Linked DNA regions of Ovis aries. The protein of the gene in region 2 interacts with the protein of the main gene of each other region in a pairwise test. Links are inferred from orthologs where the notes say so. Each region holds a gene or a part of one and is shown on either strand. Other genes may lie near its edges.

What was found.
Region 1: the proteins of L3MBTL3 (region 2) and PLEKHF1 interact in binary tests that used the Homo sapiens proteins (3 or more experiments, as listed by UniProt). The two-hybrid records come from large-scale screens. The link is inferred for Ovis aries from reciprocal best matches to the Homo sapiens genes L3MBTL3 and PLEKHF1.
Region 3: the proteins of L3MBTL3 (region 2) and MORF4L2 interact in binary tests that used the Homo sapiens proteins (3 or more experiments, as listed by UniProt). The two-hybrid records come from large-scale screens. The link is inferred for Ovis aries from reciprocal best matches to the Homo sapiens genes L3MBTL3 and MORF4L2.
Region 4: the proteins of L3MBTL3 (region 2) and PRKAA2 interact in binary tests that used the Homo sapiens proteins (3 or more experiments, as listed by UniProt). The two-hybrid records come from large-scale screens. The link is inferred for Ovis aries from reciprocal best matches to the Homo sapiens genes L3MBTL3 and PRKAA2.
Region 5: the proteins of L3MBTL3 (region 2) and TTC19 interact in binary tests that used the Homo sapiens proteins (3 or more experiments, as listed by UniProt). The two-hybrid records come from large-scale screens. The link is inferred for Ovis aries from reciprocal best matches to the Homo sapiens genes L3MBTL3 and TTC19.
Region 6: the proteins of L3MBTL3 (region 2) and PLEKHF2 interact in binary tests that used the Homo sapiens proteins (3 or more experiments, as listed by UniProt). The two-hybrid records come from large-scale screens. The link is inferred for Ovis aries from reciprocal best matches to the Homo sapiens genes L3MBTL3 and PLEKHF2.
Region 7: the proteins of L3MBTL3 (region 2) and NGB interact in binary tests that used the Homo sapiens proteins (3 or more experiments, as listed by UniProt). The two-hybrid records come from large-scale screens. The link is inferred for Ovis aries from reciprocal best matches to the Homo sapiens genes L3MBTL3 and NGB.

What each region holds. Positions count from the first base shown.
Region 1 is NC_056067.1:39,781,579-39,785,808, forward strand, and holds the start of PLEKHF1 (pleckstrin homology domain-containing family F member 1), read left to right. Parts: upstream 1-1,430; 5' UTR 1,431-1,568; exon of another isoform or gene 1,569-4,230. UniProt on the Homo sapiens protein: May induce apoptosis through the lysosomal-mitochondrial pathway. Translocates to the lysosome initiating the permeabilization of lysosomal membrane (LMP) and resulting in the release of CTSD and CTSL to the cytoplasm.
Region 2 is NC_056061.1:55,685,155-55,688,654, reverse strand, and holds part of L3MBTL3 (lethal(3)malignant brain tumor-like protein 3), read right to left. Parts: intron 2,489-3,500; coding exon 2,404-2,488; intron 802-2,403; coding exon 710-801; intron 1-709. UniProt on the Homo sapiens protein: Is a negative regulator of Notch target genes expression, required for RBPJ-mediated transcriptional repression. It recruits KDM1A to Notch-responsive elements and promotes KDM1A-mediated H3K4me demethylation.
Region 3 is NC_056080.1:129,270,832-129,274,854, reverse strand, and holds the start of MORF4L2 (mortality factor 4-like protein 2), read left to right. Parts: upstream 1-1,223; 5' UTR 1,224-1,282; intron 1,283-2,538; exon of another isoform or gene 2,539-2,610; intron 2,611-4,013; 5' UTR 4,014-4,023. UniProt on the Homo sapiens protein: Component of the NuA4 histone acetyltransferase complex which is involved in transcriptional activation of select genes principally by acetylation of nucleosomal histone H4 and H2A.
Region 4 is NC_056054.1:31,181,423-31,185,510, forward strand, and holds the start of PRKAA2 (5'-AMP-activated protein kinase catalytic subunit alpha-2), read left to right. Parts: upstream 1-1,288; 5' UTR 1,289-1,330; coding exon 1,331-1,424; intron 1,425-4,088. UniProt on the Homo sapiens protein: Catalytic subunit of AMP-activated protein kinase (AMPK), an energy sensor protein kinase that plays a key role in regulating cellular energy metabolism.
Region 5 is NC_056064.1:33,235,627-33,239,610, reverse strand, and holds the start of TTC19 (tetratricopeptide repeat protein 19, mitochondrial), read left to right. Parts: upstream 1-1,184; 5' UTR 1,185-1,234; coding exon 1,235-1,403; intron 1,404-1,482; coding exon 1,483-1,595; intron 1,596-2,910; coding exon 2,911-3,021; intron 3,022-3,447; coding exon 3,448-3,486; intron 3,487-3,984. Other genes in the region: ZSWIM7 (zinc finger SWIM domain-containing protein 7), read right to left, coding at 986-1,076. UniProt on the Homo sapiens protein: Required for the preservation of the structural and functional integrity of mitochondrial respiratory complex III by allowing the physiological turnover of the Rieske protein UQCRFS1.
Region 6 is NC_056062.1:82,115,588-82,119,542, forward strand, and holds the start of PLEKHF2 (pleckstrin homology domain-containing family F member 2), read right to left. Parts: upstream 2,801-3,955; 5' UTR 2,529-2,800; intron 1-2,528. UniProt on the Homo sapiens protein: May play a role in early endosome fusion upstream of RAB5, hence regulating receptor trafficking and fluid-phase transport. Enhances cellular sensitivity to TNF-induced apoptosis.
Region 7 is NC_056060.1:86,628,937-86,632,953, reverse strand, and holds the start of NGB (neuroglobin), read left to right. Parts: upstream 1-1,217; 5' UTR 1,218-1,473; coding exon 1,474-1,562; intron 1,563-2,979; coding exon 2,980-3,091; intron 3,092-3,690; coding exon 3,691-3,810; intron 3,811-4,017. UniProt on the Homo sapiens protein: Monomeric globin with a bis-histidyl six-coordinate heme-iron atom through which it can bind dioxygen, carbon monoxide and nitric oxide.

The DNA.
Region 1 (4,230 bases), on a different chromosome or scaffold from region 2:
TGGCCCTCTTACTTCCCCATCAATCACCTCCACTTCCCCTCTTTCTCTTAGCCTCTCCCTGCTCTCTCGTCCCCTCACTCCAACCCCTTCCCCTGTGGGAATGTGCCCATGTCCTGGCCCCACTCCACTCCGGCTGGCAAAGGCAGATCCCCAGCACTGGGCCCCACCTCACAGCCTCTGCCCACACCACCCAGGAGAGCAGGTCAACCCCCTATCAGCTCATGCCTCCAGCACCAGCCCTCCAGGCCCCAGCCCTGGGCAGAGTCTGAGGTCTGGACCCAGGCACCTGGAGCTTCCTCCTGCGTTGGTCCTGGCCCAGCGGGCACTGCCCTGGCCTGCGCCAGCCCCTCTTCACAGTTACCCCGCTCTGCCCTATTTGGCAAGGCAAACTCATCCGTGCCACAGACATTTACTAAAGGCTGAACTCCGCTCTCAGCACTGGAGAAAGGAATGAACAAGATGGGTAGAGCTCAGCCACAGGGCTCACAGTCTAGGTGGGGCAGACAAGCTATGAACATGTAAACAAGCGACCTAATTGGATGACTTCAGGTTGGGAGATGTGGTTTACAAAATAACAAAACGGGAGTGAGGCAGATGAGGGTGACCTCAGAGGTCAGGGAAGCCTCTGAGGAGGTGACAGTTTGAGTTGGATCTCAATGCCAAAAATGCAGCCATGAGAAGATCTGGCGGCAAAAAGGAAGTGCAAAGGCCCAGAGGTGAGAACAACCTTGGGGTTTTGAGGAACAGGAAGAAGCAGCTGGTGTGAAACGAAGTGTTGAGGGAGGCCAGAAGGAGGTTAAGACAACCCCCCAGGAGTGATGACTCTGAGGCTTGGACTTGCATTTCAGCTCAGTGTTGCGGAGTGGGTGGGGGAGGGTGGAGAAAGAGGGCAAAACTGGTAGATAATGTTGGAGTTAGGCGATGGATACATGGAGTCCATTAGCCTATTTCCTTCAGCATATGTTTGAAAGTTTCCACTATACAAGTTTAAAATATAAAACATAAAATGCTAAAGAATTTTAATATTATGATTATCAATCTCTCGATTGCTGAGACAGGACTATGCCAGCCAGCAGCAGGGAGTCCCACCAGCGGCGGCGGAAGGCACAGTAATGCCACCGCCTCCCTCCCCAACCCCTTCCCTGGCCCGAAGGCCCCAGTTGGGTGAGTTCGAAGTCTTCTGTGGGTCCGGCGTGCGGAGCGCGGTGGCGGAAAGGGAGACTGGGGGGCTTGAGTCTGGGTTGCCAGTCCCGGGAGAGAGCGACAAGGAAGCCCCCCGCCCGCACCGCCTGCAGCGCCAACACACCCAAACGCACTCCGCTCGGGAAGCTCACATTTCTCTGGAACTCCGACTCCGAGAGTTGGCGTCCAGGCTCCGCCCCCGCCTCGCGCCCAGGCCCCGATAGGCGGAGCCGCCGGGGTAGGGGGGCGTGTCCAGGAGAGTTGGAACGCGGCGGCTTGGGCGGCGGGGGTTGGCCCCCTCCGCAAGCGGAACGCGGCAGCCGAGTGCGGTCTGTCTGGCCGGCTGCCTGGTGGGGCGCGAGACGCGAGGGCCCCCGGCTGAGGAGGTAAGGGTCACCAGCCAGGCCGGGGCGCCCGGAGCAGGCGGGCTCCCTGCCGACTGCCTCCCAGCTACCCCGGGCTCCTAGTCTAGGTGGCCCCTGGACTCGGGCGGGGCGGTCGCGAGGCCGGTGCCATCTCGGACTCTGGCCCTGAGCAAAGGCACGGACCAAGGCGCTTATTGCTGGCTGGTGGGGCTGGAGGAGGGGCGGGGGGCTGCTAGGAGCTCCAAGGACAGCGGGGTGAAAACAGGTATGGGGGTCTCCGAAGTCCAGGCAGGGTGCCCGGGGGGGATGCACGAAGTGAGAGCAGAACGGTCTGGAGACGCCTGTGGACGTTGAAGCCCGGGACAGCAAGGATCTCAGCGCTCCTGCTGTCTGGGGAGGGTTCGGGGATTCCTGACTCACGCCATCGTGGGGGCCGCCACTCTTGGTCCCAGTCTGCAGGGTGTGGAGCAGTGGGCAGGGATAGTTTGGCCCAGGGAAGCGGGGAGGAGAGGCAGGGTGGTAGCGCTTTCCGGGTTGCCTGGGTGCTCGCTGGCCCTTAAAGCCTCTGAGTTTGTGACTTTTGGTGGCAGTTGTCAAAGGAAACAAGGCCAGGCTTAATCTCCAATTTCACAGAGGAAGTAGTGAGGCTGACCCAGAAAGAGGTGGCAGTTCCCAGCCTGGAATCACCCGGAATCTCCTTCCCTTTCTCTCTCCCTGAACACCTGAAGGGCTGTGCAGGGGAGAGTTGTCATCCAGCCACTTTTTCAGATAGGAAAGTGGATTCCCTGAGTCACTTTGTAACTTGATCAGGGATATGTTCGTTTGGAATTTGAACAGCATTGTTATCTCACCACCAGGGAGGTCAGAAGCCAGGGAAGAGGGGAGGATGATTGCTGGCGAATTTCCACTCAATGCTGGCATGTTCCTGGGCCTGCAGTTTCCACTGGGGTTGTCTCTGACTTCAGTCTGTGTCCCTGCAGACATCAGCCCCCAGGGCTGCCAGGATGGGCAACTGAGGCAGCCCAGCTGAGCTAAGGGACTTGCGCAGCCCAGCCCGCTACAAGAAAGGAAGGGACTGGGCAGCTCAGCCAAGCTAATGGACATGCCCAGGCCACCCCTTGACCTGGGTGGAGAGGGTTGAGGGTTGGAGATCAGGCATTTGGAGAGGAGCCCTGCCCTCTGAATCTGAGGATTTCGGATTCTGTCTTCAGCAGCTCATGGTTGTCTTGGAGCTGGGACGTTGGGCAGTGACTTTGGATGATGGAGGTGGCACCTTCCCCCATGGGGCTTTTGTGAAGAGTCGGCATGATAATACTTGCAATGTGCTTACCGTTGTGCCTGTAAGCTGTAAGCTCTCAGTTAATGGCACCCCTGGTTTATTTTCCTTATTACTATTCTTTTCATGGAGGAGGGCTTTCCAGGAAGCACAGAACTGGACAAGCCTGAGGGGTGGCCCCTCTGGAAGGAAAGGACAGTTGGATTGTGCTTGGAGAGAAACTCAGATCCTCATCTTGGCCTGCGGACCTGCAAGACTGGCTCCTACAGCACCTTTAACCTTACCTGTTACTCCTCCTGTCTCCATAGTCAGGTCTTTGAGCTGTTCCCTCAGCCCAGAACTTTTTCCCCCTCAGGCCTTTGCATGGCTAAAATCCTTCACATTCAGGCTGGTGCAGGGTCACTTCCTCACCAGGCCTTTCCTGACTACCACCCTCACCCTAGCCTTGCTCAGCACATCAGCCCTTTTCTTTGTGGCATTCACAGTCAGAAATCACCGTGTTGATTTATTGATACTTTCTAGTCTGGCTGTTGCACCAGGCTGTGTGATACTGAAAGGTCTGGTCCCTAGCTCCCGGCTGTAACCTGGTGCCTAGTCCTGCCTAGTAGAACTGTGCCAGGCACACAGTAGGACTTTAGTAAATATTTAGAAGGTAAAATCAGGTAGGCATGAAGACAATGTGGGCCAGGTTGGGACTGGAGGGAATGAAGGTCAGGTGGTAAATCAGCCCTGTCCTAAGGGGAAGCCAAGGGGTAGTCCAAAGGGCCAACACCCTGACTCCCTCTGTGACCTTGGCCAGGTAACATCCTCTCCGATAAGCAATGTCCCCAACTGTAACTCTTAATGGGAGGGTGGACCTGAGTGCCCCACCCAGGTCCTACTATACAGGGTTCCCAGGTTGGGGCCCCAGACAGCTCTTTGAATCTCAAAGGCTGTGTCCAAGTGGAGGAGACTAGCTCCATCAAGACATGGCCCCATGTCAGGTGTGTCCCTGGAGCAGGCACATTATGCATTTGACACTGTGTGGGGGGGTATAGATCAGGGCTCTGCACACTTTTTCTGTGAAGGGCCAAATGGTAAATACTCTAGGCTTTGCAGGCCAATCACTGTTGCATATGGCTATGTTCCAATAAATTGTTTTTAGAAAAGCTGGCAGTGGTTCGGACCTGGTGTAGATTTGCTGCCTCTGGTGTAGGTCACGTGTGACACCTCAACTGTCGGGCATAGAACCCTGGCCACCCAGTGACACCTGGAGCATGGCTTACTCACTGAGAGAGCCGTTGGCCTAATTCAGATGGTGGGATCCCTGGTGTTCAGGAAGGCCAGCCCTGGAGCCTGCCCCACTTCAAAAACATGCAAGAAAGAGCTGGCCTGTTTACTTCTTTGCTCCCAGACACTGGCCCTTCA
Region 2 (3,500 bases):
CAATCTATGGGACACACTAGCCAACCACTGTTTTTGTGAATTAAATTCTACTGGAATATTAGCCATGTTCATTCATTTATACATTGCCTATGGCTGCTTTCATTACAAGAACAGAGTTAAGCTCTTATAAATGAGACCATATACTCCAGAAAGCCTACAAGATTTTCTATTGCCCTTTATGGAAAAAGTTTGCTGATCCCTGGTTTAGCCCAGTGACAGCAGTTCCTACTCAGAGCTACTTTTCTGATCTTAACGCACTTCTGATAAAAGATTTTTACTGTGGTTAATATAACAATGTTTTTTTTATGTTCTGTAATATTATGCAAACCTTAGTAAGTCATTTTTATTCTCTCAAAGCCATGACATTTTAGGCTAGTTTTTCTTTATCTACTAGTTTTTCAGTAGTAATAGAAGCATCCTTCTGCAAATCAATGCATGAAAGCCTAACAATTGTTGACGGAAAACAGCGTCTGTCTGTAGGTCTGTATTTGTATGTGTGTTGTGTGCCCATGCATGTGGCCCTAGGGAAGGTGTGCATATATGATGATAGTTACCCTCCAAGGTCCCCCTCCACATATGAAAAACAATGTTTGAAAACTTATCCCAAGTCACATTTCCTAGACAGACAGTAGAAACGGCAATACTAATCCCAGACCAGCATTCCAGCTCCTTTGCCCTTATGCACAATGCCTTCTAGAAGGGTGGGTACCTCCTTGAACAGCTTTGCCGGCACGGCCACAGCTTTCTCCTCTTCCAGGTAGGACGCCCAGCACCAAGCTTTCTTTCCTTTAGGAGGCAAACCTGAAAGGCAAGTGAGACTAAACTGACCGAATTTCCCAATCTAGGAAATCAGAGCAGGATACTTACTGTGAACTCTTACTTTCTAACTACCCCCAGGCCTGGCTCTTCTCTTACTTCCATGATGGATATTTCTCAATTTCTTTCCCTGACTCCTCTTCTGAAGAAATGAGAGCTAAAAAGTAAACTATGTGTATATCCAGGAATGAGTGTAGAAGAAAGGAACAGGAGAACTTAAAGTACTTTTAAAAACTTAAAGTACTTAAAGTAAAGTACTAAAGTAAATAAAGGAGACGCAGTAGGAAGCCAAGATAGACCAGAATCATGGAAGCTCAGCAAGTGAAAGTGTCTAGGAGCAGGATGCTCCAAAGTTTTTTCCTAATGAATCAAGAAGCTGAGAACTGAGAAAAGGTCAGTGCACAGAGTAACTTAGGGACTGGCTGCTAACTTGGAGAAAGGGGGGTAAAAAAAAAATCAATGCATCCAAGGCCAAATTTTAAGTTGCAAAAGAACACATAAATGATAAAGATACGGAGTCTATAGCAATTTTATTTGGGGTTAATTTAACAAAAAATGAAGAAAGGATATATAATGTTAGGCTTGATGTGTTTTAAAATTGAGGGAAAGATATTTGGAGATGAGCTTAGAACAGGCAATAATAAAGCACATGAAGAGGAAGAAAATGGAAGAGCTGAGAGAGGGAAATGACTGAAGCAACAAGGCCACTGAAGGGCCAGAGCCCCGAGGGTAGCAGCAATGAAGGGGAAGGGACAGAAAGGACAAAGAGGCAAAGTGCAGAGCAACTGAGACTTTGCTCCCTTTAATGTCAGTGATGGAATACAGAAGGCCATCCGAATGCAGAAGTTAGGCTGTGTGTTTGATGCAAGTAGAAACACCTCAAAGTGTTTTTAAGAGACGAACAAGGGAGGGATGTGGTTAAGCCCTGAAGAGAAGCGCTGAGTTCAGGCCCTGATTCACAGGGACAATGTGATTGGCAGGTCAGGATGGGACTGTGCAAAGTACAGTGACCTAACATGGAAGACCAGCCGTGTAGATGTGGCAGGTCCTTCGACACAGCCTAGCGGGGCACACAGAAGCTTCTGGGGAGACAACCCAAGGTGCAGGATGAATAAGGCAGCAAGTTAGCCCACCAAGTACTGAAGGGCAGAGCCTAAGCTCTAGATTCCTCAGAGAATAAAGTGTTCCTCGAGAAATAAAGAAAGGAAAAAAGGGTACCCTGTCAGGAAGTTATGGTTGAGAGAAAACATTTAAAAAAAATCTAAAATTTTATGAAATGAGTAAGACCAGAGGTTTTAGTCAAAGTGCAGAAGTAAAAGAAACCTACCTGGTGGAAAAATAAATAACAGAAAATGATCTCAAGTTTTCCCTGACACTGCTTGAAACTTGCTAATTTCCACTTTCCCTTCGCCTTTTTCTACTTCTTCTAAACTCCAACTTTTATTGACACAATTTAATCAAAGAAAATCCCCAAACGATCCTTTAACGGCCATAGTGTGCATTACAATTAAGACTAAAATGTCTGCCTGTGTGAAATATTTTCAACTTCAGAAAATTACAAGTAAAACCTTCCTTGCATCAACTCACCCTGCTTTAATACAGCTGAATCACCTCGTCTTTTCCTTCGGGCTCTCTGTGAACCCCTCAGAATTCTCCCATCTTGTTTGTTTTCCTACAATAAGGCAGAAAAGTTTACGATTTTTAAAAGTTCATGAAATTGGCATCAATGAAAAGTTAGAGAGCTGTCAGAAAGCCTTTTTTTGCACTGTTCTTCAGTTTCACTTCATAACTTTGAAAGAAAGTAAGAATATAGGTCACTTGAGAACTCTGTTGCTCTTGGCCTGAGGTCCTTACAAAATAAGAATATTTCCAAGAATTACACTCTGTTATAGCACAGATACTGTTCCCACCTCTTTGAAAAGCTTTCTTCTTTCAGCTCCTTGACCTCTCTGGTCTGGGTCCCCTGGTACCTCACCGCCCCTCTTTCTTGGTCCCTTTGCTGACATCTCCTGCCATCTAATCCCCTTCTCTTCTTTATCCAATCACTCTCCTTAGGTTTGAAAGATCATCTGTCTGCTAAATATCCCCTATTTATATCTCGAGCTCTGACTCCATACTCATGTATCCAGATGCCTACCTGGGATTTTCGCTTGGACATCTAATGAGCATCTCAAATGCATGACGGCCAAAGTACTGTAAGTTCTATACTCCACTCTGGCCTTCCCATTCTCAAGAAGTGGTATGATTCCAGTCAACAGTTCAAGCCAAAAAGCTCGGAGCTATCTCTCATTCTTCTTGCTCCCTCATATACCCTGCCAACTGTCTCAAAACCACTGCCCTCTATCTTAAACAGCCCTCTTATTTAGTCTACTACAATAAACTTCCAGCTGGTTTCCCTGATTCTACTCTGTTCTCACATGTCAAAGCTGGAGTGATCATTTTAAAACATCATATCAAAGTATTCCCCTTGCCCTCTACTTTCCAATGGCTTCCCAGCACACTCAGAGTAAAGTGACAACTCATGACTCTGGTTTACCATAAAGCCCTGGACTGCAGAGAACTCTTCAGTCTCATTTTACTCCACTCTTCTCTAGCCTTCAAGGCTCAGCAACCTTGTCTTATTTCCTAAAACAAAGCGTGCTTACACATGTTTTTACATTATGGTCTTTTCCCCAAACAATTCC
Region 3 (4,023 bases), on a different chromosome or scaffold from region 2:
GGAGGTGAGAATCTAAATTTCTGACAATTCCCCACCAGGTGGTGCTATTGGTGTGTCTGGAAAACACTTTGAGAACCTCTGCTCTAAATCCCACCCCTCCCCAAAGGGTGCACGTGTGTGCCCAGAAACACATATGCACACACACACAAACGTATGGAATCTATAACTGAAATAAGTATAACTTGTGTTGTTTGATTTTATTAGTATGCCTCTAACAAGGATTTTGTGAAGAATTAAAGAATATCATGTGATATGACACATCTAAAATATAGAAAGCATGCAAAAAAACAGGATCACAGAACATAAATCCCAGGTTCTCAGAACTAGTAAGTGGTGGAATCGGGCTCAAAATTAGGCCTCTAATTAGGCCTCTAAACTCCAAAAACATAATAAAGTTTCACAGTACTACTGCAGAAGACAGGGTGAAAACACAAATATCCGATCATAATTTCAAAAGTGAAAGATCAGTTTTCAATCCCAGGGTCCAAGCCCAGTGAAGACAAATGTCTGTACTGACCAGAAAACCACCTGTGTTTTCCCTGCAGCAGAGCAGGGGTCAGGGTGAGGTGGTAAAGCGGGGCAGGTGGCAGCATTTGAAAAGATCCTAACCCCACAGAAAGGGTTAGAATCTTCGTATCTTCATCGGCGTCAGTGCTTGGGGGTCATTCATCAAAAATCCCATGGACGGAGGAGCCTGGTGGGCTGCAGTCCATGGGGTCGCGAAGAGTCAGACACGACTGAGCGACTTCACTTTCACTTTTCACTTTCATGCATTGGAGAAGGAAATGCAACCCACTCCAGTGTGCTTGCCTGGAGAATCCCAGGGACGGGGGGAGCCTGGTGGGCTGCCGTCTATGGGGTCGCACAGAGTCAGACACGACTGAAGCGACTTAGCAGCAGCAGCAGCACCCCCAAAAAAGGCAAGAAGAAAGAGATGGGAGGGGGAATTTTTTTTTTAAGGAGGAAAGAAGTAAAGAAAGGAGGTAAACATTTGAATAGAGCCCTACCTGGTAGGGCTATTAATAAGTTAATTTGATTTTTCTCGAGAAATGAAAGATATATATGATCTTTATAGATTGGAAAGCTCAGCAAATCAGAAAAAAAAAAAAAAAAAGATGGGGGAATCCCATAATTCCAGGGACCAAACAGCCAATCCTTTGCTGGAATTTGGCGGCATCTAGTGGCAAACTCAAAAGGTATAAACCTCACACGGAGAACTTTCTGGAAAATTAGAGTGCATACTTGCGTTAAGAGCACTCTGCCTGGAAATCAGAACAAGCAGGTAAGAGAGCCTCAGCTCCCACAGAAATTCGGAGTCCCTAGTGGAGGGGAAGTCTGTCGTGTACAGATATTCTCAGCAAAATATTGTGGCAGAACTGGACGCAACTTGGGGGTGGGGGATGGACGGGGGAAGGAGCGGGGGTTGGGGGAAGACGGCTATTAGGGAACAGCAAAGCTGCTTTTTGGAACTGCTAGTAAGCGAATGGGGGATTTGGTTGTTAACCGCTGCTGGGCTACGGCTTAGAACGGGATTTTTGATTCGGAGATAGACGTGGGAAGAAAGTGTATTTTTAGGGTTTAAAATCAAATCGATAGGGGAGACCGAAGTATTTCTAGCGAAAATCCTTTATCTCAGTGATGGTCGCCATAACTTAATTGCTTAAATTTCCGTTTTATAAGAATAATTTTCAAACATAAGTAGAAAAATGATCCGCATAGAACGCGCGCGCTCACGCGCGCACACACGCGCACGCACCCGCCCCAGAACACACACCAGCCCCGACGCTAGGGGCGCACGCCTGCGCACACCAGCCACCTCCAGCGCCACGAGGCCTGGCGTTCGCGCACACGCCAACGCCAAGGCCACGCGGGCTCGCTTGCGCACAGGAGCCCTGACACCGCGCGCCCGCAGTACCCCCCACCCCCAACTCGCACACACATCAAAACCCCCAGTCAACCTTTATTTTTTTTTTTTCCTCCGGGAGTTGCGCAAGAGGTTCGGGGGCGTGGCCGCAGATTTGACCTAGCGCTTCCCCACTCGCGGGGACCTTAGCTCATTTCCGCCCATCCTGTTTCCGCAGGCCACGTAGACACTTCCTTTCCCAGTTGGGGGGGAACCCACAATGCCTCCCTGCAGGAAAAAAAAAAAAAAGAAAGAAACCTCTGGGCAGGGGAACTCTGGGTCGTGAAAGTGGGCCACGTGAACACTCTGCCCTATAGACTTATGACCCAACCGCTGTCGCGCTTTTGGAGGGCGGGCTGAAAACCTAAGAGGGCGAACGTCATTGGTCAGAGCCCTCACTAAAGGAGAAAGGTAATTGGTTTCCTTCAAGCCTTAACGGTGAAGAAGCAGGTTGCTAGCACCCGCCTTTACTGCGGCGGAGTGTCATTGCTGACGTGGTGAGCTTCATCCAATCATTTGGTTATAGAACATTCTAAAACTTAGATGAGACGATTGTGATTGGCTGTAGGGCATAAGCCCGCCTCCAGGGTGACGTGTCTGCCTATGGATATCAGTTGCCAGAGAAACCTGGCTTTACTATGGCGGTTGGAGAGTCGGCAGTGATCACACGTCGTCGTCTGTCGGAAAGAACTGGATCCTCGTTTCAGGTTTCGGGGTGGGGGTGGGGAGAAAGGGTTGACGATTTCCTCTTATCGTCGCGTATACAGACAAGATTAATTAATGGCTTTACTATCGGGCAGAACTAGATTCGAATTCCTACTCGCCAACGCCCAGCTTGGGCTGGCTGTTCTTTCTGTGTCTCGGTTTCCATGTTTGTAAAATGGTGATAATAATAGTATCTGTCTCAGAGACTTGTGCCTCAGAGGCGTGTGCTGTATATTAGAGCGTATAATATACGACTGCTAGGTAATGTAATACGTATAATAACTTAATACGCACCGTGGCTCCGGAAGACGTTAGCTATTACTGTGGAGAGAAAAACCCGCGTAATAGAGTGAGAAAAAACGTAAAATTATGTAAAGTCGTTCCTTACAGTGCTTTTCCTATCACCTCCTTCCGTAAAAGAAATTCGAGATACAAAAGAGACGTATCAGTCTTTACCAATGAAATAATTTATTTGACAATTACCTCAAAATAGCGGGGATTGGAATTTTCCGTATTGAAAAGTTAAAAAAAAAAGCGGGGGTGGGGAGAAACGGAGAATGAGGAATGAGAGCTAGCTGGAGATGAACCACATGCGATGAGTAGGCCTTGTTTGAATCCTGATTCGGGGAAATCAACTATAAAAAAATACTTAAAGGTGCATCAGGAAATTTTAAAGACGGATTCGACATTTGATTTTTTTTAAGGAATTAATGACGATGTTTTTAGACGTTGTAATGATACTGTGGTTATGTTTTCAAATTGCCTGTAGCTTACAGAAATATACGAAAATACGAATTAAACAATAAAAGCATTCAGACTGGCTTCAAAATACCTTGATGTCTAGGATTTGCTTCAGAATTAGCTCAGCGGTAAGGGGAGGTGGCGAGGGGCATAGATAAAACAAAATTGGCACTAAATGAATCGTTTAAGCTGAGTGATGAGCTTATGGGATTCCTTGTATTGTTCTAGCTTCCTTGGTATATGTTTGAATTTTTCCATAATAAAATACAGAAAGTCAGCTATTCAGTGCTCTTGAGAAAAACAAGAGTGGGGGGGGGGGCGGCGAGCAGTGGGTGGGGTTACAGATAAAACAAGATGGCCTTCAGTTGGTAATTGTTGAAGCTGGATGATAGATTCGCAAAGGTTTATATTATTCCCCTACATTTTTATCCATTTGAAATTATCCTTAATAAAACTTAGAAAAAAGCAAAAACAAATTATCGGAAATCATGATAAATGTACAATAAGGTAAATTTGAAAATGTAGCCACAAGAAAGGGGGAAAAATCTTGTACGTATTTTATCAGCTTTGGTGTCCTTTGTGTATGTTAAAATGCATTGGTGGAAAACAAAACGTTCATCTCATATCTTTATGTCCTTTGCTGTCCCCTTGTTTGACCTTCTAGACTACCATCA
Region 4 (4,088 bases), on a different chromosome or scaffold from region 2:
ATTTTTAAGCACTGACAGGCAACACTGGAAACTAGGAGACTGAAGGAAGGAAAGAAGAAAGGAGAGGAGAAGGGAGGGCGGGAGGAGTAATCACTGTACTTACTGTATCTTGGCAGTTTTTAAGGCTCTGCCTGCTTCTAGTTTCCTCTTGCCGTTTCCTCACTCCCCCTTCAATCTTTACCTTTAATTTGTGCCCTTACATTGCCCTTGTCCCTTAGGTAGCTTACTCCCCAAGCTCACTACGTTCAGTTTCCCGCTTCAGTTTCTTCCACTATTTCCCTCTTGTGCAGCTCTATCACAATTTCTTTGCTATATATACTTGATTAGTTGTGTCTAACTCTTTTGCGACCCCATGGACTGCAGCCCGCCAGGCTTCTCTGTCTATGGGAATTCCCAGGCAACACTATCGGAGTGGATTGCCATTTCCTTTTCCCTGGGATCTTCTCAACCCAGGGATCAAACCCTTGTCTCCTAGGCGGATTCTTTACCACTGAGCCTCCTAGAAAGCCCATATATTTATATGTCTAAAATACAGTTGAGCAAATATTGGGACTGATTGGTGAACTTTGTGCAAATTAGTTAGAACGGAGAGCTCTAGAGAGGGTATCTCCTCCATAACTGAGAATTAGACAGAACGTAGAGGAGAATCAGTGAAGCCAGCAGAGTTGGCTTTTTTTGTTTGTGCCCTGGTGACCTGTATGAAAACAGTGCGTGACTCCAAAAGCTTCCTTGTGACTCTCCTCCGACTGACCTTCGATCAAGGCCCTTCCCCACTGCCGCCAGCCCTGACTTCCCTCGGACCCACACACTGCTTTTCACGCCCCTCTCTCCCCACACTTCAGGCCTGTTTCTCTTCCCCAGGTTCTATTAATACTTCCATTGCTTTCCACTCGCCAAGATTCGGCCCAAATCTCACCCTCTCATTCGCACCGTCAGGTTCTGCTAGAGGGCCCCTTAACCCGGCTCCCACCCCAGGGCCCCTCCTCCAGGTAGCGAGGCGACATCCTTCCCCCTCCCCGCTCCGCGCACACCTGTCGGCCTCCGACCTCCCCCGCACCGAGCGCCCACGCTCCCTCCACTGCGCCCCCAGGGCCCTGGCCCCGGGCCCACGCCGGCCTCACGCCCGCCCAGGGGCCTCGGCGCGCCCCCGCCCCTGCCCCCCACCTGCTCGCGTCCCCCCTCCCCCCGCCCCGCCCCGCCCCGCCCCGTCTCGCCTGGTCCCCAAGTCTCGGGCCCCCGCCCCCCGCGGGCCCGCTGCACTGTGGGTAGGCGGCGGCGGTGGCCGCGCAGAGGATCCCGCGGCGGCGGAGCGAGGCTGCGCGCGCCGAACATGGCTGAGAAGCAGAAGCACGACGGGCGGGTGAAGATCGGCCACTACGTGCTGGGCGACACGCTGGGCGTCGGCACCTTCGGCAAAGTGAAGAGTTGAGTACGCCGCGCCTCGCGGGAGGCCGAGCCCCGGAGTCCGGGTGTGCCGGGCCGCGAGCGGGCAGCGGGTGGCGGGGCCTGGCGGCAGGTGGAGCGGCCGCGCCCGGGCCGCGCGGAACCTGGGGACCGAGGGAAGGCAGTGGGTACCGCTTCGCCCCGCGGCAACGGCGGCGTCCCGGCGAGGGGGCTCGGGCGGGGGCGTCGCGAGGTCCTGGGACTGGCGTCCAGCACGCTTCTACTGCCCGACCTTAGTGCCCCCCTCTGAAACCCGGAGATTGGGTTGTTGGGCGAGATGCCTTTCAGCTGGGAGGCTGCAAGGACCCTGAGGAATGACCCACGGTCCTGATGGTGGAGTTCCCATTTCGTGCCAGGTGTCCCGTTAGGTGCTTCACGTGTGATCTCCTGTAATCCTTACAGCAGCTGCAGGTGTTATCTTCGCCTGTAACGTGAGAAAACGGGGACCCCCTAGCAGGGACGTGTTCAAGGTCACACTGAAATTGGCAGAACTGGGATAAAGGTCTAAAATGTCCTCCAATTTTGGCCAGGCTGGGAAGTCCTGCTGTCTGGATTCTTTCGTGCTCCCTGACTCTGGATTAGTAGGGCTGGTAGTTTACGGGGGATCCCCGGGGCGCGAGGTGGGTGGGTCTTTCTGCTGGCCTTGGGAAACGCTGGGATGTACCTGGGTTGGGTCAGGGCTTAGAACTGGGAGGTCTGAAGGTTGCTTGTGTGTGTAAAATGGTTCTAGGAAGGCTTCCAGGATGGAGGGAAAGGAAAAAGGGACTTTGGAGTTGGATCTTGAGGATGTAGGGCTGAGGCCAGAATTGCTAAGACGTACTCTGCTGAGCTCTGTGTTCCTAAGTGATGGGATCCCATTTTGGGTGTAGAAAAACAGGCTGCTTTGATTTTTTTTTTTTTTTTTTTTTACTGGTTACTAGTTAAGTATTGAACTTTCCTGTTTTTCTTAAGAGTCATGTGAGATTAATTAACTTGTCCTCTCTCCAGAACTAGAACCAACTTATTAAAAATACTTCTTTTGGTTGTTGCTTTTTTCTTTTTTCATTTTGCTGAGAAAATGTTGGGTAGGCAGCTTGAGGATTTTATTGAGGCCTCTATTTCCTTAAAAAATCATAATGAAAAAATTTTAAGTTTTAAAAATTATAGTAAATTACAATTTTGTGTTAGTTTCTTCTCTATGACATTGTGAATCAGCTGTAAGTATACATGTATTCCCTCCTTCTTGAGCCTCCCTCCCACTCTGCTAGGTCATCACAGAACGCTCAGCCGTTCTCTGTGCCATACCTTAGCTTCCCACTAGCTAGCTGTTTTACACATGGTAGTGTAGAGATCAATACTACTCTTCCACTTCGTCCAAAAATCCTATTTTAACCTTGAATCCAGGCTGTAAGTGGATAGAAGAGACTCGTTCATTCATATGGTAGGGATCAGCTTTTATTTACTTGCACACATCTGATACCCTTTCTTTTGTTCAGTAAACACTTACTGAGTGCCTACAGTGTGCCAGGCACTGTTCTAGGTAATGGGGACACCCTAGGAACAAAATCATTAAAATCTTTCCTTTTGTGGTGCTTATATTCAAGTAGGGGAAGACAGTAATCACTGTATATATTTGTGTGTGTGTGTGTGTGTGTGTGTGTGTAGTATTTTTAGTGCTGTGAAGACAAGTGAATCGGAGTTTTGTGCAGTTCACAGTTTTCAGTAAGATTGTCAGGCATGGCCTTACAGATAGGGTGTATGTTTATATAAAGACCTCAGGTTTGTAAAATTCTTTCAAGTCCTGTGAGGGCTGTGAAGTCCTTCCTGGCTTAGGTTTGCAAGACCTCATAAAGTGGTAAGTGGAGAGAATATATTTAGAGTGAATATATGAAGATTCAGGAACTGGATTAATGCTGTGACATTACTAAGGACTATTGTGTTTTGATGTTACGCACTCAAGTCTTCACCATCTAGGCATGTACACTTTCCAAGTTATATAATGTATACTGTTCCTTTTCAAATTGCATTAAAAATTGTTGTTTTTAAAAAAATTATTGTGTAACCTGAATATTGGCTAAAATACCCATCAGATAGATCATTTGGTCCATTGTCACAGGACAACTTAAATCTCTTTTTGTATATATCCTTGAACTGACCTAAAATATAAACCAACAGAAGGTACTTGGATTTATGAGAAATCCTTTTCCTGGAAGACTCCTTCCCAGTGAGCAGCTAACTGGGGAGATTTCCTAACACTGTATGAACACCTCTCCAAAGTTAGTGCTCTCCCATCCAAAGTTAGGATTAGTACAGTTGCTTAATAAAAATTATATAAGTGCAGCAGTCTAAAGTTACTCATTTACAGTGGACCCTTGAACACCATGAGTCTGAACTGCAGAGATCTACTTTTACAACAGATAATTTTTTTCCTCTAAATAAATACTACAGTATTATACAGTCAAGGTTGGTTGAATCCTAAAATGTGAAACCATGAATACTGCGGGAGGAATATAAGGTTATACACAAGTTTTCAACTTCCTGGGGTCCAGTGCCTCTAACTCCAGTGTTGTTCAAGGGTCCACTGTAATTCTTTAAGGGACTACAAACAAAAGCACGCTTATTTTTAAACACAACTTTTTTTCAAGCATATTTAAGATATCCTAAAA
Region 5 (3,984 bases), on a different chromosome or scaffold from region 2:
GCTGGCAGATTCCTTACCATCTGAGCTAAAAGGAAGTTATTGAATTAGGGATAAACATATAGAAAAGTAAACAACCAAACAAATGCAATCATGACAGTTTTGAGAGGAAGCAAAAAGTTACAGTAAAGAAGTAGTCATCACTTACTACATGGCTCAGCTGTGACTATATTTTACATCATATAAGTGTAAACTCAGAATACTGATCTAAAGAAAATTATCGTCGAAGGAGGGGGCTCAGGAAGAGTGTATGACTGTCTAAGAACAAAGATTTTTAACTAGAAGAAAATGGCTCTGAAAAACGTGAATCGGTGATAGTAGTCTCTATGAGCCCCAAGCCTCAGGGGCGCCCCCTTCAAGACTCTCACACTGTGCTCTTCACACACAACCCTTTCTGGCAACCACTGTTTGAGCTGTCAACAGACTGGTTTCTCCCCCAAGCTTTTTGGGATTAGAGGATGTTCGAATACCTGGCTCGCCTCATCTTTTAAGCACATGTACTGCTTTAGATTTAACTGAAATGAGAAAAGTTGGCTTCCTCCTCTCAATTCTTTAAAAAACAAGTCAAGGTAAATCCTTTTCAAAGTGCGGTCCTTTGCAAACAAACGCCGCCCAAGTGAACCAGCAAGGTTCACTGAAGCCTAACCGATGTTTTGGATGGTCATTCAGATGGCGGCGGTGGCGCCAGCTCTAACGGGGACGCGCTCTGGCCCCGTGCGCTTGCGGCCAGGGGAGTCTGGTCACAGAGCGTCCTCTGCTGGTCAGAGGAATAAAGGCACAGCCACAGCGTCCAGACCCCTCAAGTCCTGCATCTGGGGCCCTGAAACAGTCACTCGTGCACAGAGGTCAGGAGGGGAACCTTTTGGAACAAACACAGACCGCGGGAAGGAAGGGCTACAGGCGAGTTAAGAGGGCGGAGACCTCCCCAGTGGGCCCGGACCCCCGAACCCCGTCCCGCCGGCGCTGCTTCCCGCGCCCCCGCCCATACTCGGCGCGCCGTCCCGCACAGCCGCCGCCATCTCGCTCAGCAGCTCCTCCACCACAGCTGGTAACGTGAGAGGCCCAGTCGGAGCCGCCATGGCGGTCCCGCGTTCTCCGGGGCAGGGGAGGAAGGCGAGGTGACGTAGACTTGCGTCCCGGCGCATGCGGGCGGTCCGGCCAATCGGCGGGCGTTCGGCGCCAGGGGCGGGACTTCCGGAGCCCGTGGCCGCAGTGCGCAGAGGACGCTCTGGGGGCCATGTACCGGCGTCTGGCTGTGGGCCTGGCCCGAGGTCTGTTGCGGGTGGCGGAACGGCGGGGCCGCTGCTACCCGGTGTGCCTGCTGCCCGGGCCGCCGGGAGTTCGGGCGCCGCCGTGCCGAGGGGCGCCGCGCGGCCGAGGCTCGGGCCTACTGCCGCTGCTGGCAGGTGAGGGGTGCAGGCCGGCGGGCCGGGCGGGCCGGGCTGGTTGGGCTGAGCACGGTGACCTCAGTGCCCCTTCCTGCAGCGCTCGCCTGGTCCTCGAGGCCCGCGGCGGCGGAGCAGGAGCGACGGGGCGCGGGCGGGGCTGCAGCCGGGGACGCCGAAGCCGAGATCATCCAGCTGCTGAAGCGAGCCAAGGTGAGGGGCTGCAGCACGTCCCTCGACTACGGGGACCCGGGTGGACGGAGTCGTGGGGTCCGTGCGTTGGGCGCAGGTGGAGGCGGCGCTGCCGGTTGCGAGGTTGCGAGCGCGGGGAGAAGTGCGCACAGGCTGAGGGGAGCGAGGCGGGCCTCTTCTTCCTGAACGTTTTCCCCTCTTCCCGGGGTGCCGGGTCTCCTCCTTTGCGCTGACCGCCGCCTCATGCCCACCGCGTCCACCCGAGTGCCCGCACACGGCAGGTGCGGCCCGCATGCCAACTCTATTTGAGGCTTCAGCTGACCCAAACGAACCTGTGGTCTTAGGCACCCCTCCGACCCCTTCCCTCAGTACCTCTTCTTTTCTGTAGTCTGCCCCATTCTGAGAACTTGTGTGGTACCTACCTACCACCTCCCATATACCAAGAATCCAGCAACGAATTTTTGTATTTTGCCACCAAATCCAAAATCTCGAACCTGTCGCCTCTTCGGTGTCTCCTCCTGTCGCCCTGGCCACGCTGCCACAGCCTGCAGTCTTGTCTGCCCTGTTGCCCCCTGCCATCCAGGCTTGACAGCAACTGGATCATTTAAATGTAAATCAGCTGGTGTCATTCCGTGCCCACAAGCCTTGATTGACCCGTCACAGCGTTTGTGGTAGAACCCAGACTCCTTGCCCTGGCTGGTGAGACCTATGGTCCCACCCCATTGCCTCCCTACTTGGCAGTAACAGTCACCATCAGTTGACATCTGTTGACTTTCATTGTTTGAGTGGTTCTTGAAAGTCCGTTATCTTCAGTCTGTAGCACCTTCGCTCCTTCCCTGCTGTCTGTTTGGGTCAGTTTCCCCCATAGTTCCTTCCTTAGTTGGCTGTTTTTCTTTTTACCTCAATTTAACTGTCGCTTCCTTGGGCGGCTTCTCTTGACTCCATTTGAAGGAAACCCCTTGTTCCTTTCTCTTGCCTTTCTTCGCCTGTATCATTGGTTGTGATTGAGCCCCACCTGTCCTGCAGGAAGAGTGGAGGAGGATGTAGGGCCAGCAGCTCCGCTATAAGAGCTCGTGAAAAGTGCTCACAATCCTGCTGCCTATGTCAGCCAGTGTGCTATATCTGTGGCCATGCGGAGCTGCAGGGGAGCCCCTCTCCAGTCCCCACTGCAGACACCATGCCTTTGCAGAGCAGGGATTCAATAAGTGTTTGAGGAATGAATGACTAGCTTCCCTCTGTGTACTGGGACACGTAGCCCATACTCGCTTCTGTCTGGCGGTGCATGTCTCTGTTCTTTTCGTGTTTCAGTTTCTTTTATTTTGTTTTCTCTTTTCAGTTATGCATCATGAAAGATGAGCCAGAAGAGGCAGAGCTGATTTTGCATGATGCTCTTCATCTTGCCCACAAGAGTCACAACACGAAGGCCATTGCTTACACTTATGACTTGGTAACTCCTCTGACCAGTCTGAGCCGCCGCCAGTGGTGCAGGAGAAGGGCTGTTAGTGTTCCTGATTAGTATTCCTGACCTGCAGGATGTCTCTCTGGGTTTTGTTTTTACTAAGTTTTCTTTAGCTTTCCATTTTTATTACCCTTGAACTGTCACCTGTAAGAAACCTCAACCCCAGACCGAAAAGAAACAGTTAACATTAATATTTGTGTTCTCAGTGAAGAGTGGATCTAGAATTGTTATCATCAAAGTCTATGCACGTACTCTCACCCCATTGCTGAACTTTGCTTCTAGCAGATTAGCAACAGTTTCTGGACTGTTTTTTTAGATAGAAGGTGAAAGCAAAGGGGAGTTTTCAGTGTAAAGATTTTGAAGTAAGTGGAAACAATGCTTTAAACTGAAAAACAACTTATAATCTGCTTTCAGATGGCGAACTTAGCATTTATAAGGGGTCAGCTTGAAAATGTAAGTAAATCATGTTGTAATGTTGTGAATTTGTGAATGGCTAGCTTCAAGGGACCTCTGCACATAAGGGTACAGGCAAAGCTTCTGTAACAAAGAGACCCCAAGATAAAGTGACTGAAATAAGAAGGAAGCGTATCCCTTTAATGCATTAGTCCAGAGGCGGCTGAATCCTGAAGAGGGGTGGGCACTTCTACCCCATGAAGTGACCCAGGAGCCCACATTCCTTCTAAGATGTATTCTCGCCTGAGTACGAGCACTGGCTCACCTCCAGCTGTGGGCAGGGAGAGGATGGAGGGCCAGCAGCGTCCTTGTGAAGTACGCTGTTGAAGCTGTTTGTGTAAACTGCGTGCATCTCTTGGCCGCAGCCTCCTCATATGATTACACCTGAAATGCAAAGGAAGGACCCTTGACCTAGTGGAAACTGAGGAGACTGTACCAGAAAAGGGTAGTTTGCAGTCTCTGCCACAGTGGGTTTGGGTGGGAAGTTGATCTCTGAAG
Region 6 (3,955 bases), on a different chromosome or scaffold from region 2:
TTTGTGATTTATGGGTTGAATGGAGAGAAAATTATGGGAACAAGGAATTAACCCCAAATTTTACAGTAATTTCATTACAGAATTACAGACCACCACCTAGGGAGGGTTTGCAATTTAAAATAGCACTGTGAGAGTGTATCTACGGAGTACATTTTATTCACTTAAGCCAACATACACCTTGCTATTAAGCACGCAGCTGGTGTACAAAGCTGGTTCCAAAGATAAATTCATAAATAGAAAAGCAATGTTTACGTTTTCCAATAAGCAAGATGTTCTAAAACGAAATTCTAAGACAATTCTAGCAAAACAGTAAGTGACAAGAGAAATTAGGGTGTTCCATCAAATAACTTAAATGTATAAACATGATCTTCAAAATTTTAAGGCATTAACTATTTCTACCCAGTGCAAACACTAAATACAGTTGCACTTTAAAAGTATGATTACTATCTTTTTGCTGATCCACTGCTGCTGCTTCTTTGATTATATCTACTTGGAAATTTCATAAACATTCAAGTTCTGTACCCCTGGCCCAAAATTAGTTGAGTTACTAAGGTAAAATCTCAAAAAAAAAGGACGGGGGGGGAGGGGCAATTAGAAAAGATCTAACTACTTTCACTCTTAGAAATGCAACTTAAAAAGAAATTCATGAAGTATATTTACAAAAAGTGTATGTGTATTCATCCATTCAAGCCTTTTCTGAGCATCATGTTCTCAGCACCCTGAGGATGAAGAGGCAAATCAGAGCTCATGTAATGCTTTCTGTTGAGGAAGTGCCATGGCAGAAAAATGTAATATTTACTGGGATGCATCTGGATAGATAAGTGACTTATTCTTGGGGAGAAAAGGGAGTGAGATAAGGAGAACTGTGCAAAAAAGTTTTCAAGAGCATAGGCTGAGTATTTTTAAGAGGAAAACTCTCAGTACATAAAACCTTGGAAATGAGGGAAATTCCTAGGAAATACACACACACTCACTAAGGAACTAAATTAAAATCAGAAAGAGAAGCTAGGACGGAGAAAACAAAATGGACAGAAACTGCTCCACGGGAATGATTTAAGTATCCTGCAAAGTTAAGAAAAATGAGAAGGTTTCAGTTATAAGACCTCAGTTAACTACCAAGTTGTTCGCTAGATTTGTGACATTAGTTAAATCACCTCTATTCTGGGTAACTTTTCATCCAGAAAAACATATGTATAATGGCAATCACCTTACACTTGAAAAAAAAAAAAAAAACTAAGAATATTAGCAATCAAATCTGAGCAGAAGTTCTATTTTTACCTACAGATTAAGAAGAGAAATTCTCCAAGACATGTTGAAGTATTTATCTTGTTTGTGATTAAGAATGCTCTCAATACAATTAACAGAAATTTGGAAGCCCAGATGCCTTTATTAAAACTAGTAATTGACATTCATTTACTGGGCTGATTCAAGCTGAATCTTTTTTGATGCCTTGGTCAGTGCACCAGTTTTATTTTTTGAGGCGATTACATGTGCTTTCCAAATACGTAACTTAATACCATTCACCTCCAATGCTGGGAGGACCCGAAGAGATTAAAAACAGAAGCCTTCGTTAATACTGAATTAACCCGAGGACCCCATGAGCTACCGGAGTACAGAAAAATGTAAATGCTCAGAACACGGTAGGCATGCACCTTTATAGAACCAAACGGAGGGGGAAAACTTCACAATGTCAAGATCACTTCACCTTATTCTTAAGGGAACAACACATGCCTTTCTCTCAGTGAACGGTCCTGGCTTTCTTAGCTGAATTTCTTCAGTAACGCACTAAAAAATCAACAAATCGAGTCTATGAATTACAGAGAAGAGCTTGGTTGTCTGTAACCTTCATACTGCTCGTTCTTTTCACCGCACACTCCCAAGTTACTATTACAACGTAGTAAGAGCGCACCGGGTATTCAAGTCGCATGAACAGCAAGCTGTCGGCCTCCCAACAAATATGTTAAAGAAAAACTTTGGCATACGACTTTAAAAGACTCCAAATAAGTAAGGCGTCAGACTCAGCCCTTCTATCAGGGCAAATCGTGCGGTGCCATTTTTTTTTAAATTTTTTGCCTCAAACCCCATAAAAAGACGCTGCTCAAGTTACAAGGTCTCTGATGCCCAGACCCTTCAAACTTTCTGGACAGAAAGATGCTGGCACCCCAAGACGCCAGTGGCGACGACGGACACCCGTCTTCACGCCCTCACAACTTCTCGCCGGACCTCGGGGTCCCCCTCCCCGCGGGCCGGACAACCACCCGCGCGGCCCTCCCTGCGGCCCGCGAGCCCTCCGGCGGGCGGCCGCGGCCCCTTAGGGAGCGGGGAGCCGCCCGGGAGCGCCCCGTTTCTCACAGACCCCAACATGGCGTCGGCCGCCGCCGCCGCCGCCGCCGCCGCCCGAGACGACGACACCTCCCCGCGCCGCCGACGGCCCGGGGACCGCGGCGGGGAAGCGCAGGGAAAGTTTCGCTTCTCTTCTCCCGGCCCTCCGGGGGGCCGCCCGACGACCAAGCCCGGGGTTCACCTACCCAGCCGGGCGCGGACGGCCGCAGCGGCGAAGGTCCGACTTCTCCTCTTCCCGGGCGCCGCGCGCGGACTCTCCTTGCCTCCCGCCCCAGCTTCGCAGGGTGTGCAGCCAGCGGCCCCGCGCAGCCGGCGCGATCCGGACGCGGCGGGCGGGCGGGCGGGCGTCGCAGACGCTCGCAGGTGACCCTCCCGCCCCTCCAGTCGAAGCCCACAACGGCCGCCGGGGCTGGCCTCTCCCCTGCGCGCGCGCGCAGAAGCGCGCCGCCACCCACACGCCGGGCGCGGGCGCGGGCGCGATCACACCCCCAGCGCTCGCTCCCCACCCTTTCTGGCCTGCTCTCTCGCCCCGCCCGGGCCGTCCCGCGCGCCGGGCCCGAGGGGGCGGGGCCAACGCGGAGGCCACACCCGCCTGGGAGGCTGGGGCTCGGGATTGGCTCCTCTGCTCGGAGTTGAGGGCGCGCGCCCTGACGTGGATTGGCTACACGTGCGACGTCTTTTACCTGGGCTGCCTGGCGCAGGCGAGCCCTCTGAAAGGACAGTTCACCTCCTAGGGAAGTGCTTAACGACGCTATAAAAATGGAAGGAGGGCTGGGCCCCTTTCCTCTCACCCCGAACGGGCCTCTGCGGGGAATTCAGGAACTTTCCGCGACCGGGAAATGAAAGCTTTGGATTTAGCTGCCCAAGGCGTCCGGCTAGACGTGTTTGCTACATCCTCTTAGCGCGCCCGATCCTGCCCCCTCACGTGTTCCACTTGCTTGCCCTAAAAATCCTACCGCTTGAAACACAGGAAACGACGGCGGCAAAACATACCCCGCATACTCCGCACAGCCTTTTAAGTGATGCGTTTATTCCCTGACTTAGAATTCTGGTCTTTCCCCAAATTTTCTGTGATACCACAAACGTACTTCACACACCTGGAAACAGTGATGATGGTATATAAGGTTGAACGTGCCCCTTCATTTATACCGCAGCAAAGTGTGCTGGTGGGTCCGTGGAGACGTAAAAGATGCCTAAGGTAGATAAGGACTGTGGGCCTGGTGAGGGGTGAGGAAGACTGCATATTCACTTCAAACAAAAAGTGAATAGGCAGAAATTAGATTTGAGTAAATTTTATCTTTCCCGCTGATCTATTACAAGATTTTGAAAAAATACCTCTTTTTCTTTTATATGTTTTCTTCATTTTTTTTGTTTTTTCTTTTCTTTGAAATAGTAACTTTTTTTTTTACCTTTGATTGTAGCCATCAGAACCCACGCCACATGAAAGAGCACCCACCTAGGGAACATAAAGCAGGTCTTGTTTCCAACCAACTTTCTTTTGGTCTGGGATTTGTCCTCCCCAGATCTTCCACCTGCCATCCTGTTCTGTTTGAATATGTCAGAAACAAAATTTTTTTAAAAAAATTGGTGGCTAAAACAAACCTGGCAAGGA
Region 7 (4,017 bases), on a different chromosome or scaffold from region 2:
CCAATATAATTTCTAATCAACCCACTACACTATACTAATAATTTTCTAACTTCTCAAAAGAGTCTGTATTTAGAAAGTTTTAAAGCATCTCGTGCCTCTCACAGTTGGGAGGCTGTAAACAATCACATGTGGATGGACGAACCCGCTCAGGCAGGCTAGAGAACCTTCAGAGGAGTTTGTAAGTTGAAACACTCTTGTCATGCCCAGGAATTTTTGTTTAACTGGAGCTGCAAGTTAACTCCTTCTCCGAGAGAAATGGTGATGGGGAGAGCCCCCTGTAAAGTCAGAGGTGTAGGTGAGAGCATAAAACAGTAAAGTAGGCAGACTCTGGTTTCGGGGGTAGATGCTCGGGAACAGGGGGTTTCCTGAGGCTCAATCCCGCCTTTGCATATGCCAAAGCCTCCTTCCTCATGACCTTTGCCATGGGCGGAGTTCCTCACGCTGGCTCCCGGCACCCCCTCAATTGTCCACGCAGTGGAGTTGCTCACCATTGCTGCACCTGAGACCCCACCCCCGGCCAAGCACAGCTGGGGTTAGAACCAGAGCTGACAGATTTCTAAGGAGCCTCAAGAAAACGCAGGCCTGGCTGGACACGGCGGTGGTCTTGGCCCTGTCCCTAAAGCTGAGCACCCTGGTGGCCCCTGAGTGTGCCAGGGTGCTTCAGTCAGTAACCAGAGCTAGGGCAGACCCTGCCCTACCCTTCACGGCCCTCCCCCAGCTGCGCCTTGTCACACAGGCAGGCACCCTGGCCTTCTTCCACCCTCCCCTCGGGGCAGCAGGAAGGAGACATGGTGCCAGGGGTCGGATGCCTCCAGGCAGCGTTTGCGTGGGGTAGCGGAGAGGCGAGCAGCTCCAGCTCCCTGCCCTAACTGCTGCTGCTGCTGCTGCTAAGTCGCTTCAGTTGTGTCCAACTCTGTGCGACCGCATAGACGGCAGCCCACCAGGCTCCCCCGTCCCTGGGATTCTCTAGGCAAGAATACTGGAGTGGGTTGCCATTTCCTTCTCCTTGCCCTAACTAGTAAGTGGTAAAATTGTCACCGGATGAGAAACCGAGTTCCCCAGAGGCTCGGCGATTTCCGTGAAGCTCTGAAGCCCTGTCCTTTCCCAAGCCGCCAAGTCCGCGGCCAGAGTCGGTCGCCCGGAGATGCGTGTCTACCCGGACGGAGAGGGGCGGGGGCCGCGGCGGCTTTAAAAAGCCCCAGGCGGGCGGCGAGGGCGGGGCGCAAGGCATAGCGGCCGGGAGCGGGGGTTCCCTGGAAGCGCCGGGCCGGCGGGGGCGCCTCCACCTGGGCGGGGAAGGAGCGGTGGCTGGACCATCCGCGCTCTCCCCATCCCCGCGGCGCCCCGGCCGAGGCGCGGGGGCCGTAGGAGGTGCCGAGTGGCCGCGTCTCCGCGGAGATGGCGCGGCACGTGCGGTGACGGTGCCCGCGCCCCGAGGGTCCCAGCCCTGTGCCCCGCGTCCCCGGGGCGAGCATGGAGCGCCCGGAGCCCGAGCTGATCCGGCAGAGCTGGCGGGCGGTGAGCCGCAGCCCGCTGGAGCATGGCACCGTCCTGTTCGCCAGGTGAGGGCGGCCAGAGCGTACCCGGGGGTGCGGGGAGCGGGGTGGCTCTCCAGGAATGAGTCGGAGGCGGCCGAGCTGGCGCCGGAGAAGCGGGGCGCGGCGACCAGTGGCGCAGCCCCTGCGGCTCTTCCCGCGGCGGCCGCGGCGCGTCTGGGCGAGCGCACACACTCCGCTCCCAGCGAGGCTCTCTGGGCGCCGGCCAGGGTCCTCTCCCGCCGCCCGTCTCCCTATACTCCGGGCCCTGCGCTGCGCCCCCTCCCCGGCCGTGTGCCTCCTGAGTTTTCTTTCCTTGGGTGATGACTGCAGGGGTGCCCACCGCTGCCCCTATGGAGAGATACCGGGGTGTCCCAAGGGCCTGCGTGGGAAGGCTGTACTGGGCGCCTGGTCCGCAGGGCACGGGGTCTGGGCCCCGGAAGTGTGCGCTTCCAGCAGTCAACTTCAGGATAAAGCTTTCCGAGGAAATGACAGGCTAGGACCTGAGATCCTCCAGGGAAGGGAGGACAGATGCCCAATTCTCACCACCAGAGAGAGAGGGGCGAAGAAGTGTGCAGACCCCAGAGGGGAGGGGAGGCTGCCTTCAAGATCAGCTTGAGGGTGTCTAGGTAGCCCCTCTGCCCTCACCAAGAAGACATGCCCCCTCACCATGGTTTTTCAGGAGCCTTGGCTCCTTTAAGCCAGCCCAGAACTTCTGAAGAGGTTTTTGTAAAGCCTCCCCCTCGCAAACAAAAAGGGACTAAATTTCCAGTCTCAGGCCTCCCAGATAAGGATGAGAGCTTATACTTGGGCCTCTCAGCTTTCCCCAAACCCAGTCTTTTCTCTGGCGCCCTCTGGCCATGCTGCTCCCAAGCTGTGTGATCTGAGACACATGACTCAACCTCCCAGGGCTTCTGTTTCCTCGTCTATAAAACTGGATAACAGTTACACCCACTGTTTAGGATTGTGAGGGGATACCTGAGTAAACCACGTGCAAGGTACTCAATGCTCAGAAAGTGTTAGGACTTCTGAATACTAATTATTATTGTTGCTGGGCCAAGCGCCTTTGGCCAGGATGGGACTGGGGGGTTCTGATCCAAGAATGGGAGGGAGGGGAGGAGAAGGAGACAGACGGCAGGAGGGGAGTCCCCACCACAGACTCCGGGTTTCCTGTCTGAGGACCCCTGCCTGTCCCAGCCCACACTCCTCCACGGTTTATGGGAGGGGCTTCCCTATGAGGCCTGGGGAACACATGTTTTCCACGATGCAGAAGAGGTAAGAGGGGCCAGCGGCAAAGCTGGCCAAGCGGTGTGTGCCAGGCTGAGGGTGAGCTGGAGTTTACAGCCCAGGCTCTGCGCACCTTCCTCTGCTGCAGGGCAGCCAGGGCCCGTGGAGCCTGGAGGGGCGACCCCCTCCAGGGCTGACACCGGGACTCCCCATGCAGGCTGTTTGACCTGGAGCCAGACCTGCTGCCCCTCTTCCAGTACAACTGCCGCCAGTTCTCCAGCCCAGAGGACTGCCTGTCTTCCCCCGAGTTCCTGGACCACATCAGGAAGGTGAGGAGAGGTGGAGGGCCTTCCTGGGGGAGAACAGGAGAGGGAGAACCCAGGGTGGGAGAATTCCTTTGGCGTCCTTCCCCAGCCCTGGGCTGTGCCCCTTCTGCTCCCTCCTGTCGGAGGCATTTGCTACTTTCCCTCTGTGCTGAACTGGGCAGAGTTGGGGCACCCGGTCGGCCAGCTGCTCCCAGCTCTGCCCTTTGCCCTCGGCCTCATCCCTTGGCTCCTGTAGGTGGTGTTTGTGCTGATCCATCAGGGACCATCCCCCTGTAAAACCAAGCTGGGGTTTCCTTAGAGGCTGGTGGCTCTTGCAGGGTCTCAGGAGGCCATCCCAGGAGGATAATACTGTTCAACAGGTGTGTCTAGGGCTTTGAGCCCCTCAGCAGAAGGCAGCTTCCTTCATGGCCTAACGTTAGTAGTCTGGCTACCATAATGTGAGCACCCCCAGTAGGCAGACACAGGCTGCCTTTTGTCTCTGATCCCAGATAAGCAAGGGTCTTCCCTTCCTTCTGGTTGGGACCCCCCGGTTCTGGACTGGTTGTGAGCAGGGGCAGGGAGTTGCTCTGATCTCCATTTCACTGCGACCTTGATCTTGGCAGGTGATGCTGGTGATCGATGCTGCAGTGACCAATGTGGAGGACCTGTCCTCCCTGGAGGAGTACCTGGCCGGCCTGGGCCGGAAGCACCGGGCAGTGGGCGTGAAGCTCAGCTCCTTCTCGGTGGGTAAAGGGGCCCTTTCTCTCTCCAAAGCTCCTGGCCTGAGGCTACCACCCTCTCCCAGGCCCCTCCTATCCACCTGTTCATCTCTCCCTCTCCTAAACCTTCAGGTGACTGCATTGTTAGGTACTTGCTGTGTGACCCTGTCACTGCCTTGACCTCTCTGAGCCTCCAATTTTTCTTCTCTGGTATGGTTTCTCTTGGAACCC